Linked DNA regions of Drosophila melanogaster. The protein of the gene in region 1 interacts with the protein of each later gene in a pairwise test. Each region holds a gene or a part of one and is shown on either strand. Other genes may lie near its edges.

Region 1 (2,666 bases):
TATTATGAGTTTATAATAAGTTGCCAATAAATTCAATTTATTGTTCCAATTTCATTAATAAACTTCGAAGTTTTTTTCTAAAACTTTCTCAAATATCCTTTTCTTCTTATTTTCCTCCAAGGTTGCCTTATCTACCACCAAAAGATTTCTTTACAAAGCTAATAAAATGTATTACCAAACTTTTGCAGAAGTTCTTTGAAAAGCAACTCCATAAAATCAAATTTATGTATTACCTGCATTGCCCCCTTCTATTTGCTTTCCCCCTACTTTCCAGCTTCTTTTTTACTCATTTCCTATATCGTTTTAGCTCCCTGAACTGCAGGAGGACAAAACCTCTGGTCGCACTTTAAATAAGCATTAAATTGATACAGCATAAAGTTGTTTCCTTCTCTTAGCCCGCTCTGTCTACCCCACTCTTTTGCTCCCAAGACGCACTCCAGACACACTCTAATCGCTTTATAACTTCTAACGCAGTTTATCAGAGTCGTCCGCAGCCCGTGGCCCCTCATCCCTTAATTCCAACACCCCCAAAAGTCATCCTTCCCATGCCATTAAGGCGGCTCAAAGGCAAAAGTTATTGTCACGCACTGAAGTCGCCTTCATGTGGAGTTGTGTGGTGCACTGAGAAAATCATTGGTTTTTAATAACTCGGCTCAAAATTATATTACATCAGTACGCAGGCTCTAGTCTTACAGTAAATATCAAATATTCTATTAATAAGATCAGTTAAAAAAGCTACTTTATTTTAGCAACATTATGAAAAGTTAACATTAGTTTACAGGGAATCCCTAAAATCATGTACCTATTTTGAGAGATATCCTCTTCATGGTAAATAACTCATACTCAATACACTGATAAGATTGTCAAGCTAAAGACGAAAATATTATGCAAGTGTTGATAAGAAGAAATTATATCAAGAGATTGTTTCTTTCTGTGCAATTTTTTTTATTGAAATGGTCGAAAGGGGGTATATAAACACCTCCACCCATGCCAATCTTCATGCAAAAGCTTTCTGGTTATTGCCTTCCTGCTCGCACTTTCTCTGTGCTTGTGTTGGGTGTCTTTAGTGCCTTTTTGGTTTTCCTCGCTTTTCTTCTTTCGTACTGTATTTTCTTATTTTTTGTTTAGGACTACGTCTGGCAAACAAGGCGGAAATTATTGTTGGCGGGGTCTTAAAGTTTTATTTTACCTTTTACATATCTATTTGTCAGCATCCTTTTTTTTGCAATATCAAATTGATGTTTTGTCTGCGAAATACTTTTTGTTTTTTCTTACATCTGCTATTACTATTACTGTCATTACATTCGTTAAGAATGAAAAGAATAAAAGCGCTTAAATGTTATGAATTAGTCCGGTGAGTAATTCCCGATCCATGATTGCACAAAAACATTGCTATCTTTATAGCCCACTTTGAGTATTAGCAATAGAATCGAAGTGAATCCCCAGTGAGTCAGTCGAATACACACCCCCTTCGATAAGATAAAGCAGCACAACAATAATACTATCTGAATTGTCAAGCTGTTCAAGTGGGATGTGTATATAAACTGGTCATATCAGCGGATGGAAAGGCAGTTAGCATTCAACAAGCAACGAGAGCAGTTTTCGAAAGGAATATATCAGTTTGATAAGGATTAAAAAAAGTAAAACATTCAAAATGTCGCCGCCACATCACGAAAATCGCCTGTTTGGAATCCACCTTGGCCTGAATTTGGGTGGAGGTGGACATCATCACCACCACCATCATCCACCGCCTCCGGTGCACCACTATCACCCACCGCCTCCGGTGCACCACCATCACCACCACGGACCTCCAATGCACCACCACGGACCCCCGCCGCACCACCACCACCACTACGGACCTCCGCCACCGCCGCCCCACTACGATCATCATCATCATCACCACGGCAGCCACTTTGACCATCATCATGGTCCTCACCATGGACATCATCATCATCACTGCTAGTACAATGGAATGGAAGGAAGGTCTTAAAAACCACAGCCATCAGGTGGCGAAATAATGAAAGTGTTTATAAGCGAATTTAATTTATTACATAAAGTGTACAAAAAACAAAACCAAAAAAATCATTAAAACCACTTAGACTTATACAAAGACATTTTTGAATGCTAGTTTCCTTGGGGAAAGTAAAAATAAATAAATTAAGAAGTACGATGATAATTCATGTAGAATTTTTTATATATGTATGTACTCGTAATGGATTTCTGCATTCCAAAAATACGTGTACTGCGCACTTAGTTAACAAATGTCCATACGATAAAGTATAAAATAACAACTAATCTTATCTTGATTGACATGACGCAAAGATTTCACCAAAACGTAATTGAACGATTCTCTATACATATAAAGCTGATTTTAAAGCCAAAGGAATCAAGAATAATTTTAAAACTTAATAATTCAAGAAATTCTAATCCAATAAGAAGATTATTGGCAACCACAAACACAAAACAAGACCACCCACGAAAACAAGTTTGTAAGCCGATAAATACAAATGAAATTAAATATAATTTTAGTACGGCTTAGATTCGCTTCGGGTGGGTCAAACAAAATGTTTGCCAATTACAAACCCATTTCGAAACGCTTTTATTTTTCTGCGGTTGTCACAAAACGCTAATTAGACAGCAGCTACCATATAGAGTGGGTCTCTCAA
Region 2 (3,547 bases), on another chromosome or scaffold:
CACAAACAAACATATTTTGTATAGTGTCCATAGCGCGTCGTTTGAATGATCCATTGAGTGAATATGTTAAAATAGAGCCCCGTCACCTGGGGGTTGGTATGTACCAGCACGATGTTCCCGAGAAGATTTTGACGGCATCGCTGAATGACGTTGTGTCCGAGTGTGTCAGTTATGTTGGCGTTGATCTCAACACAGCCAGTCTGAGTGTACTCAAGTATGTGTGATTAAGGGTCAAATAAGTTATATATTTTTAATATTCTCCACCATATAGGCACATTGCTGGTCTGTCGGAAAAGAAAGCGGAAAAGATCATTGAGCATCGTACGCAGAAAGGACCATTCAAGACACGGAAGGATCTGCTCTCCGTGCGAAGCATAGGTGAGAAATCGTTTGTCCAGTGCGCCGGTTTTGTGCGCATCGAACCCCGAAGCGTTGGAGGACAACTACAGAATCCATTAGATTGCACTTGGGTGCATCCTGAGAGCTACAACGTTGTGGAAAGGTAAGTCCAATATTCAATTGACTTCATTAACCAATAATAATGAGACTTTATTCCGCCTGATTCATCGCAAGCCTGGCCTTTTCATCCGCTGCCCTCACTAACAAGGAGGTGTCACTAGGTGTCACAATGTCACTTTCGTGTTGCGTGATGCCAGCTATGTTCTTTGGACAATCGTCGTCAAAATTCTTAAGATTTGTAACATCCTCGCTAGATTCCATTTGACACCAGCACGGAAGGTACGGCTTCAAGGGATCCTTCTTGTCGCAACGCTTGCAGGTGCAGTTCTCCATGCCGGCACTCATAAAAGTCCGGAAGTCCGTCTCCTGACTCAAAAGCCCCAGATAGTCCTCTATAGAGTGCTCTTTCATAGGGTCCATCAGCTCCGCCCACGTCTTTAGCTTCACGATCACGCCAAAGAAATACGTGTTTAAGTCCTCGATTATTTGCAGCACCGAATCTAGCTCTTTCAAGAATGTACTTCCTAAAGACCGGTCCAACCTGGCTACGCGTTGATCTAGCTCCTTTTTCGACTCACTCATGTCCAGGTATAAATTGCTCAAATCGGTGCTAAAAAGTTTTAAATTAGCAGTGGCTGTGTATTTTTAATAGACTTACTTTGACTGATTGACGATATTGTAGGCTCTCTGAAACTCGCAAAGGGCCCGCTCTTCGGTCATCCGGCTTATGTACTCGGGATAGGTCTTAGTGCATCCGGTCGAGCTGGCTAAAATGCGATAACGCACTCCATGGTAACGCATCTCCTTAACCCTCTCAATCTGAAATGGTTTGGCCTGCTCCAGCTCATTCTTCAGGGCCTTCATTTTCTGGTCAACTACTAGAGTTTGCTCGTGCACACACTGCTCAAGCTTAAAATCGTAGCGGGAGTAGATATTCTCACAATGCTTGAAGGTTGGCTTCAGCAAATGGATGGGAATGGTCGATCCCCGGCACGGTGGCGGAAGCGGACGACGCTTGTACCGCTCCGGCGGATACTCCCAGCAAACTCCAAAGCGGGTTTGATCCTGCACATTGAGCGGATGCTGCCAGCAGGGCTTGTATTTCGGCTTATCGTTGTGGCCGTAGAATGCTACCTTTCCACATGCAACATATCGAAGCTTGGCTGGCGGCACAATTGGAGGATAATGCCAGCGCTCCGCATATTCCTGCTTTAGCTTGGCAATCATTATAATGGAAAATTTGAAAACTTAACTCTAAAACCAAATACTTTTTGTGCTTTCAGTATTGTCGGAGAATGTGACTTAAAGCTGTCGGATGTGGGCAAGGCTGCCTTTATAGCTAGCATCAAGCAGTTTGCCTCATCCCAGCCTAATCTCGATCGCATTGCCAAGCAGCACAAGCTGCCCATGGAGCGAGTAAGTGCCACTCAATCTATACTAAACAGGCCTATTGCAATGTTCAAATAATTTAAAATAAATTTCCTTTCAGTTGGAGTTCCTGTTGGTTGCCCTGCAGCGCGAATTACTTCAGGATTATCGAGCAGATCTGGACAAGAGGCCACTGTTCAAACAAGGTCTAACTAGGCTGGATGATCTTAGCATGGGCGAGGTGGTCACTGGCAAGTGGAGACTATGATAGTCATTTCATATATGTACTTATTGAAACTATTCCGACACACAGGTGCCGTGACCAACGTAACCCAGTTTGGCGCCTTCGTGGACGTTGGAGTGGAGCGCAATGGCCTCATACACAACAGTAACATGAATAATTCGCAGCTGAGCGTTGGCGATCGCATTGTGGCATCGGTGGTAAAGGTGGATCTGAAGCGACGCCAGTTGGAATTACGTTTGGAAAATATGCTGATGGAGACGGATACCTCGTTTAAGTTCAAGGCGGAGGATTAGACAAACTGCAGGGATTTAATGCTTTCGGAAGTATTTAATGATTCATATCGTAATTGTTTGGTTGCTCACACGAGCATTCATATATACTATATATAGTTCATATATATATTTATATATATGTGTATATGCATAGTATAACGGCTTTCCTAAGTTTAATCAAAGCTTATCAGTTAGTAATAAATGTTCACATAAAAATCACCGTCTCCACGTTCGTCTTCTTGTTTCCCTTCTCGCCACAAGTTGGCAAGTTGTCTTAAATGAATTGTTATCGAAAGGGTATTGCTTTAGAAACTAAGTGATGCCCTCTTAAGCCAGTTAAAATAAATATACAATATGCATACATTTAGGCGCTTGGTTTGCAGCAGGCAAGTTGCTTTCACTTTTAGTTAGTTTGTATTTTCGAATTTATTGCCGTTTCAGTAGAATTGTTAAAAATTATTATAAACAATGTTATATAGTCTGCATTTACATAATTACACAATACCATAATCATAATATATTCAAAAATATATGATGCATTTAATTTTATTTTTTCCTCCATCTCTCTTTACCCCGTAATGGATATTTAATTTCATATTCTAGCTACATGGACATGTCGCGTAATCAACCGATAGTTGTTTAAATAAATATATTAATCCGTACATAATATTGGAGTAACTGTTCCTACACAGTTAAATGTGATAATGTATCGCAAAAGACCAAAAACAAGTTGTACACGGTATGGTAGTAATTGCTTAAGCTTAATGCTAATGCGCTTGTCCTCTTCTCAATTCTCATTTCGTTATTGTTACTGCCGATGTTCTCCATCTTGTGGTTGTGTAGAGATATTGTTCATTAATTAATAATTTATTTTTATCATTTATAATGATAGCATAGGTAATGATGTAAGTATTGTTTATCAACTCTTGTAATAATAAGTCTATGTGTATAAGCAGTTTTCATTCTCGTTCCTAAACAGCCGTCCAGCAGAATCTTTGGCGGAGCAAATATGAACGATAATTCAAATTCGAATCGATCTGACTGTGTAGCTTTAAATCAGGTGAAACCGATCTCGAATACCCTCATTCTGGATAAGTAGCATGGTAAATATAAAATCAACTGCACGAATTCGAGATAATCCTCTGGTTGCCGAGATTATGCCGATGTCTTCTGATGAACGACCTTTAAACGTAAAATTCTCCCT
Region 3 (7,696 bases), on another chromosome or scaffold:
AAATACTGAGGCTTCTCCTCAATCCAATTTGCATTTGATTTTTAGTCTTAAGCTGAGATCCAAAGAATAAAGTCGTGAAACTATTTCTCCTAAAAACTATTTTTTATTTCTTGGCGTTGTCCTTAGTCAACTGACGGGACATTAGTTCGACTCATAAATAAAACAACAATTTTACTATATATATATATATATATATATATGCTGGTGTGTTGTATATATAAGTTTATAAAGTTTATGTATGTAATACGTTTAAAAAGATTTTTTGGTTTCTTTCCTTCTTTTTTTTGTAATGTTTTTTTGGAAAAAGTATTTCTGTTACGTTGCGGTTTATGATTACGTTTAAACATACTTATCAGTTAGCGGGTTCCGTAATCTTGGTTTCAATTTGATTAATACGTCTCTTAGATCACTAGTATTACAATGGATGCTATTTGTGTCGCTCGTTTCGTATTAGCTTTCTGGGTATTTTTTTCTTGTTGTTTTTCTTTCTGTTTTTTTGTTTTTTTTTGGTTGTTTTGGAAAATGCTTTCTGTGGTCGAACCTGCTTCTTAGTGAAAACATATTTTGTAATACCTAACTCTTTGGTTAGCTAACGACTAGAACGTAGGAAGAGAAAGGAATCCGATTCACATTGAACGCACGACGTCTGATTCACCGGCCCCAACCAGGATCCTGATTTCGTGGCTGCTCGCAAAATGGTTAAATGGTTCTACTAATGGATACATATTGCTTAGTCGATTGCAGCAGCGATTGGGGCGGAAAATCAGAGATATACCAGTGGAGAGCAACAGCGGAAGTCAACACAGCGCAACTGAATTCGATCCAAATCCAAATCCAAATCCGATCCGGGACATCAAGCCATCCTCTCTAAGTTGGACTATCCGCTTTGGAACCGGCATTCGAGTTGTCTTGCAGTTGAGCTAGTGTCTTGAACTTTTGAGAGTTTAGGAATCTGTTGAAAAAGATACCCCGTTTAAGTATAAATACAGTATCTTTTATTTTTGCCTAAAGAGCACTCACCTCGGATATGAGTCTCTGTGCATCAGTGTGTAGATCTGGATTTGAGCTTCGTCGAAGGTGTGCGTCGTGGGCTCGATCATGTTCCGGTTGACAATCTCGCGGACCCTGGAGTCCAGCGACACCTCCCTGGGCGACAGGATCGAGATGTAGTCCTCGTAGATGAGGCGCGCCTTCTCCTCCACCAACTCTGGGCTATTCTCCTTCTTGAGATCCTCGCAGGCCAGCCAGAATAGGATGTTCTCCTCACTGAATTCGCTGCGCAGGAAGTTCTGGAACACCTTTCGACCAGCTGGGAAAATATTCGGCCAACCACCAATTAGTTTGGATCAAGGTGGCAATTGTCAATGGCTTACCTGTACTTTTCATCAGCTTGTCAAAGCTTTTGCCCCAGCTGCGGATTTCCTCCAGTGTGGGTCTGTAATGTACAAATAAATGTAGTTTTTCCGTGGCTTAAGTTTATTAAGTTGATTGGTGCTCAAACTCACTGCTCGCCATCCAAGAATTCGGCATTTACCAGATCTCGCTTCGTGGGGGCATTTTCATCGGCATTCTTGATGGCCAGACTGTAAAGATAAGAAAAAAGGGAAAAAACAAGGGGGGTTTGCTTGTTAAAAGTCGATTATTTTGATTTTACAACTCATCAATCACCCTTTAAAGTATACTACAATTTTATTCATCGCTGAATTGGCGCTCAGCCTGACTCATTTTTAACTGGCACAAAATAGCATAAATATGTAAGTACAGTAGCCGCTCGATAACGTAAACTTTTAGATAGCGCAAGCTACTGATTAGCATTTTATAAAACACTTGCACCAAACATAGAAACTGAACATAAGCGATTCTACCACATTTTAAGCTAGAGAGTTTAAAAGTTACTCATATATCTGAACGCGATATAAAGATATAATGCCTCGAATAAACACTGTAGATAGGCTAATGGCATATCGGTTTTGGGTTTCGAAGCCCGGAGACAGAGCAACGGAGTACTCGAACTTGACATAAAGCTCTCTTATCTGGACGACAGTTATCAGAGCGACTCGCTGGCCCAATACCTAATCAAAGTCACACAGGCGTACATATACCCCTATACATATATGAATCAAATTAGATGCGGCCAGGGGGGGTTTGAGGCGACATCGGGTGCTCTGAACTGGGTTTTCGGGGCGATATACCCCCAAGTTGTGCACACAAAGGTGCGGACGGGGGGTTGCGAGTTGGCGGCGGGTCGCAAAAGACTTTCGTTTTCATTCACGAAAACATGCAACACTTGGAGGAGTCCGCGGAGGAGCCGCCACATACTTATTTATATTTGATTTGAAAAGTGCCCTCCAGAGAGCTTTTCGCTGCCCGTCGCCTTGCTCACGGAATTGTGAATGAATGCGGGAGAAACTGAGAGAGCGGCACCAGTGCTAAAGAGCGTTTCGTAAGAGAGAAAGCGGAGAAAGTTCGCATGGCGGAGAGAGAAAGAGCTTTTGGATGTTCAGCAGCGTTGCCAGCTGCCAGCAGAAGGCCACCTTTACCGTGTCCATTTCCATTTCAACTTCCCTATCCATATCCATATCCATATCCATGTCAGTGGGCACAGCCATAGCCGAAGCCAAAGCCAAAGCCAAGCAATAGTTAAAGCCAAAGCAATAACCATAGCTGTAACCGTGGCCACATCCATGACAGCACTGCGAGAAACATGGACTAATAATATTTCGACTCTCTTAAAAAAAGGGCTCAAACAGACAACCTTTAAAATGAAATGATTTATAAAATAAAAAAATAAAAAATTTGCAAAAAATTGATATTGAAATAAGTAAAAATAAATAAATTAATTAACAATAACGATGTTAATGTAACCAAAGATTGGTTCATCTGTTATAGTATATCTTGAAAATAAAGCTAACTAGGTAAAATAATTACGTATTTAAAATAATTGCGCATTTAATATTCTATACTTTACAGTCCAATAATACCAATCGATTCTCTCGGTGTATGAATGCATGAGTGTTTCAGGAGGTGCTTACCATTTGGCCCTGTTGTCAGGATGTGGTTGGCAGTGGATGGGTATTGGCACAGGTAGTTGTTTTAATGACCGAACGGTTGAGTCAAGGCAGCGCGGTAACGAGAAAGAAATTGATTTCGTGTCAGAGGATTCGAGCGGTGCACAAATAGGCCACTCGGTGGTGGCCTCCATACTCACCAGGAGCAGGAGCAGCAGCAGCACCAGCAGAAGCAGCAAGGCTTCTGCGACTGCGGACGCTGAAACGTGGTCGCGTTCGACTCCTGCAGCACGTTGGACGTGGAGCCGAGGATTCCCACGCTGCCGCCCACGGTGGGCGATACTCCGCCCAGGCTGCCGCCACCTCCGACGACGCCCCCGCCGCCACCGTTCCCATTGCCATTCCCATTGTTGCCACTATTGTTGGCGGCACTTTGCTGTGAGGATGCAGTCATGCCGCGCAATCGACAGCCACTGGGCAGCTCGGAAACGGTGCAGGACATGCCGCTACCTGCAATAAAGGAACAAATTGAAACGTTAATGAACACTGTGCACGGGATGGAGTGGGGGGAAAGTGTGCTGACAGTTGGGCGAATCACAGTCACACTGCAAAAAATAGCTCTATTAGTCATCTAGAAAGAATTGTTAACCAAGGTGCCCGGAACTTAACTACTTAATTGTCTTGGCTGGTGAGTGTTTGTCTTTTTGGTTTGGATCCCATTAATTTGACAAGATGTCATTCAAAAGATACTGAAACTGATTCATTATATTATAAATATTATTATAAATATTATATTTATATTATAAACATTATATTCATAAATATGTTATTTGAATCTAGTCAAAACACCTTTTAAATAAAATTGTAATATTTGTTCTTTGCATTTATCACAAAGAAACTTTATATGAAATTAAAGATTAAATAGTAAAGAAAACTGTTGAATTATTAAAACATTGATTGTTTGTATATTTAATTTACCAAAACTATCAAAATATAATAAATACATATTCGGGAAAGTGTAATCTGGAGGAGTAGGTCCAACTGCTCCCGATTCGCCTCGTTTTCCGTGTGCACTTACCTGCCCTTTGAAAGTTGAGGTTGACGCTGGCGGAGCTGACGGAGATGGTGGAGGTGGAGATGGTGATGGGTGTTGGGTGGTGAGGTGGTGCTGCCCCAGCTGGCGGACCGCCCACTGCCACTGACCTACCCACTCACCCGCTCGCTTTGGTGCTCTTTTCTTTGCTTCGGCTTCTCTTTCTCGGCTTCCTTGGGGATGTGGGGTATGCAGGGAGACCGTTACGTATTTATGTTTTTGCTAATAATTTTTTATCGAAAGTTCCCACACACTCTCTCTCTCTCTCTCTCTCTCCCTGTGGCGCTCTGTCCTCTCTTTCTCGCTCTGCCCACAGCTGCTGCTCTTGATTTTAGTTTTCGTTTTGTTTTATGTTTTTTTTCCTTCTCCTTAGCTTTTCCTTGGGCGATTTTACAAGCCGAAAAATTCCAGAAATTCTTCAAGATTTTTTCGATAACCTTTTCGAGTAGTAGTTATCCTTATCGTAGGTTCCTGACTTCAAACCTTCGCGTGGGTTTGGTTTCCGTTTTTTTTTCTAGGGGGTCTAGCGTTTCTTTAGAGAGTTGACGGTGCGCGGGTGGCATTTACATATTCCGCTCCGGATTTACGGGCGAAAATCTAGCGATTCAATGGCCCCGTGCACCAAGGGGCACATTTCACAAGCGTTACGAAATTTATGAGCAGCTGGAGCTGCCACCGTAGTTGTTGTTCTGGCCTTTATTTATTTCTTGTGCTAGTCATTACACTGCCATTGTATATGTACATATATATGTAGGCGCCGTTGTGTGCGTGCGTCTGTGCGTGTGTGCGTGAGGAGGGGGTGGGCTGGAGTACCACCACATTGACACGCAACTTGGCTAAGTGGAGCGCATTGTTTGGCCCGTTGGGCGGATGGGGCGTATGCGTGATTTTCTCCACTTGTGCTGATGTTGCTGCAACAGCTGCAACATGTAGGCATCAGCAGCTAATTGCACTTGTTTGTAACTCGAAACGCCAGCGATTTTTGGTCGTTGCACTTATCACAAATCAGCTGCTTGGGTTCTTTTGTTGACCATTGCCTTTAGCCTGGCTATCTATGTATATTATATGTATATTTTGTTTTATTTTCTTGTTGTTGAACCAGCGCTTCCGTTCAGATTTTCACTCAAACACCACACACACGTTTATATTTTCTTTGAGGATTTTTGGGCGAATGGGTGGGCGGGAAAAGGGGGTCGCGTTTGTATGTATGTATGTTTTTGAGGAGCAGCGACGAGTACATACGAATTTTTGCCACTAGAATCGGAATCGAAATGTGTATATTTGTATATATTTTTCTTTTTCGCCCCGAAATTGTTTTGCTTGTGCTTCGATTTTTTTTTTGTGAATTTCTTTACGATTTTTTTCGTTGACTGTTGAGAATGTGTGTGTGTGTATGAATACGAATTGGGGGAAACTGCAATTTTCGTGGTCACTGGACTGCCTGGACTGGCATTTTCACATTTTCACATTTCGCCCTCGGCCATATTTTATTATATTCCTTCGTGCTCGGTGCCCCCGCAATGGCAGCCAATTCCCATTCGATTTCTGCGCTCTGCGATTTTGGCTGCTCAGCACCAGCAGCACCCAGAAGCTGAAGCCAAAATCCTCGACGGGTCGATTCGAGCGTTTCGAGATTCTCTCCGCTCGGGCAAAGGCAGGCGACTGATTTCCAAGCAGTGCCGTGTCGCCAGCTCTTGATTTTGATTTTCCAATGCGCGCGCTCCTCCCGAGGAACGCAAGATAACGGCGAGTGGAAAGTGGGCAGCCGGGGGAGGGCTCCATAGGTGGACTGAGCGAAAAGCTTTGTGGAATTGCTATACAGTTAGAATTCCTGGTACACACAGGAGAGGGACTGACAGGCGGAGAGCGCGAGAGAACGGACGGTAAGACATGTGCGCGAGTCGGAAAAAGAGAATAAAGCTCGGGACTCTTCGCCCCACTGGAATTTACCGCAAAGCTTTGGGGCCAGAACTTATAAACTTTCGGCAGGGTTGCACTTACATTTTGATTTTGGGATCCCGTTGATTTCGAAAACCGTTGTTTTTAAAATGTTCGAATGAAATGGTTATATGAAATACTTTACTTTTCATAAAAATTAATATATTTTTTATTTACTATTGAAATTTCACAAAACTTTCGGAAACTAAAAGAAACTTTCTTGGGGTTTGTACACCTAAATTACGTGTATAGTCGGATGGTACTGTCCGCGCCCGTGGAGAAGACCCATGGCTGCACCGGATGCCAGTTAACATCCAGCACACCAAACTCATCGCGTTTCTCGTGTGTTTGCAGCTTCTTGAGAGGCACAATCAAAGGGTTTTGCAGCAGGTCACTAAAAAAAAGTTTGGAGAAATTCGTAATTAACCTTGGGCAATGTTGATTTATAGCCACTTACTTATAGACCATGCCATGGGAGACGATCACAGCCTGGTCATCGCTGCCGGAAGCAAAGAGCGGATATCGAAGATGGAAAGCAACACTGCGAACTGCATTGCGATGGAGTCGCATGGTCTGGTAGGGCTTTGTGGACAGATCCAAATCGAACCAGAGCATCTTTTTGTCATAGGTGGACACCAGCAGATTGTCGCCCTTGGGATGAATAGACATGCCCGATATCCATTTGGAGTTGGTCAGCAGCTTCTTGACAAGCTCTTGTTTGACCAGATCATAAATGCGAATGTTGTGTTGCGTCTGTAAAGAAAAAACAGAATTCAATAAGACATACTAACAAAAGAAAATTAACCCACTTACCGCCACAAAGAAGCAGGGCTTCACCGGATGGAAGAGCACGAATTGGATGAGACCCTTGCTCTTGGAGAATGGAATCTGTGAGCGCCGCTTGGACAACTGATGAATTAAAGCCGAGCGGTTAGCACCTTCGGGCATCACTGTGGCCAAGTAGTCACCACGACCGTGCCAGGTCACCTGTCGGATGGGTTTGAAGTGGGTAATCACTACGCGGACGCCCTTCTCCTGCTCATCAGCTTCCGCATTTGACCATTGCACCGCCGTCTTGATGCGTTCACTTTCAATGACATCCTGACTGGGCGCCTCAGCCAAGAGATCGTCGGTCTTCTTCACCAGCACCTTATCGCCCACTTTAGGATTGACGAGCAGCAAGCGATTGCCAGTGGCCACCGCAATAATAGACAGCTTGGGATTTGGACACCAAGCCACACAGCGTACCACTTCGTCGGTCTCGATTGTGCGAATGCAACGACCTGTTGCAATTTCCCAAACTGTGAGGTGAGATGGATTAGTAAGAAGATATCTAAAAGGTTGTCAATTAAATTAGTACTTACTCTTGACGGTTTTATCATCCGAACCGGAGACGAGGTACTCTCCCTTGGGCTCCACACTAACAGACCGCACCAGATCGGTGTGGCCACGGTAAACCATACTCTCCACCGTGGGAAAGGGTTGCAGGTCACGCGGCGAGGGCAACTTGGGGATAAGGTACTCGGCATCGATGTTCAGCTTGACACGCTTTGCACGGGGACACAGGTAAAGATCCAGGCAACGAAGGAAACGCTCCCGAAGGTATCTCGAGTATGCGGGCACCTCCCTCAGCGACTTGAACTTCTGTGGCATGAAG
Region 4 (3,357 bases), 1.8 Mb from region 1:
CGCTGCCTTGTGTGCGCATCTGTGTGTTTATGTCCAAGTGTTTACGGCCATCAATGTACAGAACTTAACCCATTAATATTAGCTAAGCAGAAGCCACAGCATGCACACACAATATCAAGGTCTCCACTATCGCGAGTTGTCCTCAACATGAAAATTGTGAAAATGCTTTTACTTTTTAGCGTAAATCGATTTGTACATATGTACATACACATACGCATATGACGCGAGATTTTCTAAACGAAACATTCATACGTATTCATTTCTCCGTTTATGGGGTTCCAGCTAATAATCCTATGGTATTTCATGGCATATAGAATGCTAGACATCTCGAGGCTTTTTCAAACTGCATGCGCACCAGCAAAAAGTGAGTTCCATTAGATGATGATTAATACTGCCTAAGATCATGATCTTCATGTTAGTCATGTTTAAAGCCAGTTATATCCCAAGAACGATTTAACACCAATGACGAATTTCAAATGTATCGTATTTATTATTTCGGACCTATTAAATGCCTATCAAAGATTGTTTACAAATATATATCGCTTTATTATTTTAGAAGGTTTGTAAAAACCATATTATTGCTTTAATTAGAAAACTGGCGGAAAATCGTTTGCTTAAGGAGTAGGAGTAGTCGTAGAAGTTGTTGAGGTAGACTGTGTGGATGATTCCGTAGAAGAAGACTGCGTGGTGGAAGCAGTCGTGGAAGAAGACTCGGTGGAGGATTCCGTAGATGAAGAAGCCGACGAGGACGCAGTCGTTGGTGTAGATTCCGTTGATGAGGAAGCTGTGGATGAAGCAGTCGTTGATGAAGACTCGGAGGAGGACTCAGTTGAAGAAGCAGTCGATGAAGAATCAGAGGGCGACTGAGTCGTTGTATCCGAGCAGCTGGTCGGCCTGGTTGTCACACATGAGCTGGTGGTTGAATCAAAGAACGGCGTGGAGGCGCCGCAAGTCATATAGAGGGCAACCCAGGTGGTTCCAGATTTCTGGCAGTACAGGTAGCTGTTGCACGTGGAGTCATCGGTTATTCTGGTAAAGAAGTAACTAGGATTGGTACTAGGCTCGCCAGCATTGCACAAATCCTCTTTCTGCGCAGCACTAGGAGTTGTCGTTGGAGCCACTGTAGTTGTTGTGGTTGGCTGATAAATACTGTTGCTACAGGTGGCATCCAATCCAAGCTATAAGGTATAACATGTTAGTATGAATAATTTTTAAAGTCCAACAAAACCTACAAATTCGGAGGCACAAGACGGTACACAGACGGTTTGATACGTCGACAGAGCATCTATGATACAAATCTCATCTGTGCCGCAATTGTACACACTGCTGGTCAGCACATCGCCGGCGGAGGAGCAGCGGGCATACTGGGTGCTGCTGACACAGGCGTATTTGGCGCCTGAGGAACACACTTCGCACTGAGCTCCATTTCCGCCAGAGCCTCCACACACGTCCAATATGGTCGAATTTACCTCGGAGATCAGAGCACAAACGCTATCAGAATTGGAGCAAACGGTGCCCGAAGGACATTCGATAATATCTCCAACTGGACCATTTTCTGAGGTAAGAAATAGAATGTTTACATGAAAGGACTTTAGGTATTAAAGGACTACGGTCCAGGACTTACTCATGCAATTCTGATAGCTGTTCTGATCAACGCAGTACACATCGTTTTGCTCCAGACAAGTCTGACATGACTGAGCTGCCACGAACGATAGTCCACACGCCATGATGGCCACCAAAGCGATTATCCTCTGCATGTTCCTGCCAAAGTTTTTACACCTTTTCGGTAGTGCTGCTCAACCTGAACGATTTACTGATATGATCCCAACCACCCATCTGCCGTCTTATATAGCGGAGGAGCTCACTATGCATTAACCTTCAATTGTTTATGGGTTGATAATATTGTTTGTCAGATTTCGTTGTCTATGCCTGCCAAAAGTCTATCATCATAAAGTAATATTGAAGCGATCTAAATGACAGCAACATGCTTTTTAATTTTACGTACTTCATACCGGGAAATGCGGTTCATAAAGTGTAATCGTACATATGTATATGGTATTTTTGAAGGTCTATTGACATTTCTGTTACCGTTTGAGTCATGTCTTTTCGAAATACATTCTTTCTTTATAAAATCTGAAGTTTAAACTTTTATTTCTATTTTTTGTAACTTGCTTTATTTTTCAATACACAGCGCACACATATGTTAGTAGCAGTTATTATAAACGAACAAAACATGTTTTCCAAATCCCATAATATTTTATATATATTTAAAAGTAGTGGTATGCAAGTATGTTTTGCAAATTATTTGATAAGTCGATTTAGGAGCATCCCGTTGGTTTCGTCGATACGCAAAGGCTGGTCGTAGAATCGAAATATGGCTTGGGTTGGTGGCAGGACAAATAAACAGTGTCCCATTCGGTGGATTCAGTTCTTTCGCAGTAGAGATAAGTGTGGCAGGAAGTATCCTCCTTGTAGATCGTAAAGAAGTACAAGGTTTCCTTAGGTATTTGAAGATCTTTTTCAGCTTCAGTACAGGCACTATTTTTCTGCTCTGTACTGGGTGTGACAGTTGTCGGTGCTGCGGTAGTTGTTGTCGTGTATTCACTGTTGCTGCAAGTGGCTCTCACGTCGAGCTGCAAAAAACAAAACAAAAAAAAAAAAGGACTAGAACACAACATAATTAAGTTACCCAGGAATACCTACAAAATCGAGGACACAAGAAGGCGTACATATGTTGTCGTACTTTTCCAGTGCTTCCGAACTGCAAATCTCATCAGTATCGCAGTCATAGATGTTTGAGTCGACCACAACCGATTCGGAACATCTCGCAAATTGATTTTTGCTAACACAAGTATATTTCTGATTTGTGCATGTTGCACATTGGTTTCCACCGGAGGTTCCACAGACATCGACTTCAGATTCTGCTAGATCAGAGCTTTTCACACAAACATTTTTCGAGTTTGTGCAAACCGTATCGTCGGGGCAGCTTATCACGTTGCCAAAAGGCTTGCTTTCTAAATGAAATCTTTTCAGAACTAAGTACTGCCGGAACTTAATTTTAAACTTACTGATGCAATTCCTATAGGAAGTTTGGTCTACACAATACACATCGTTATCCTCTAGGCACTCCTGGCACTCTAATGCCTTCACAATAGCTAGACCACAAAAAACTATGGCCAAAATCAGGAGAGTTCGCTTCATTTTCCAAAGGATTTCCAGTAGATTCCCTGGTAAAAACTCAAAATAGTTTGACGTTTTCGTTCAATGCACTTCCAGTCTTATATAGCTAGGAAATGCAACTTTTAGTGACGTTTTTATGGCAAATCTGATAGTATTGTTTGTCAGATTTGGTTACAC

The links.
Region 2: the proteins of CG13482 (region 1) and CG13843 interact in a two-hybrid assay, tested with the Drosophila melanogaster proteins (one large-scale study listed by BioGRID).
Region 3: the proteins of CG13482 (region 1) and Dhit interact in a two-hybrid assay, tested with the Drosophila melanogaster proteins (one large-scale study listed by BioGRID).
Region 4: the proteins of CG13482 (region 1) and CG13075 interact in a two-hybrid assay, tested with the Drosophila melanogaster proteins (one large-scale study listed by BioGRID).

The regions. Positions count from the first base shown.
Region 1 is NT_037436.4:14,327,783-14,330,448, forward strand, and holds CG13482 (uncharacterized protein), read left to right. Parts: upstream 1-1,563; 5' UTR 1,564-1,654; coding exon 1,655-1,963; 3' UTR 1,964-2,103; downstream 2,104-2,666.
Region 2 is NT_033777.3:22,607,677-22,611,223, reverse strand, and holds CG13843 (uncharacterized protein), read right to left. Parts: upstream 1,740-3,547; 5' UTR 1,687-1,739; coding exon 1,118-1,686; intron 1,070-1,117; coding exon 550-1,069; 3' UTR 509-549; downstream 1-508. Other genes in the region: CG31156 (uncharacterized protein), read left to right, coding at 25-214, 272-502, 1,743-1,875, 1,949-2,078, 2,141-2,364.
Region 3 is NT_033778.4:17,790,941-17,798,636, reverse strand, and holds Dhit (double hit), read right to left. Parts: upstream 5,768-7,696; 5' UTR 4,087-5,767; intron 3,519-4,086; 5' UTR 3,511-3,518; coding exon 3,209-3,510; intron 3,042-3,208; coding exon 3,033-3,041; intron 2,752-3,032; exon of another isoform or gene 1,584-2,751; coding exon 1,506-1,583; exon of another isoform or gene 1,436-1,505; coding exon 1,374-1,435; exon of another isoform or gene 1,310-1,373; coding exon 1,021-1,309; exon of another isoform or gene 953-1,020; coding exon 868-952; 3' UTR 509-867; downstream 1-508. Other genes in the region: CG5033 (uncharacterized protein), read right to left, coding at 6,280-6,433, 6,497-6,792, 6,853-7,340, 7,404-7,696.
Region 4 is NT_037436.4:16,082,436-16,085,792, reverse strand, and holds CG13075 (uncharacterized protein), read right to left. Parts: upstream 1,801-3,357; 5' UTR 1,758-1,800; coding exon 1,625-1,757; intron 1,556-1,624; coding exon 1,233-1,555; intron 1,179-1,232; coding exon 615-1,178; 3' UTR 529-614; downstream 1-528. Other genes in the region: CG33258 (uncharacterized protein), read right to left, coding at 2,319-2,633, 2,704-3,014, 3,069-3,201.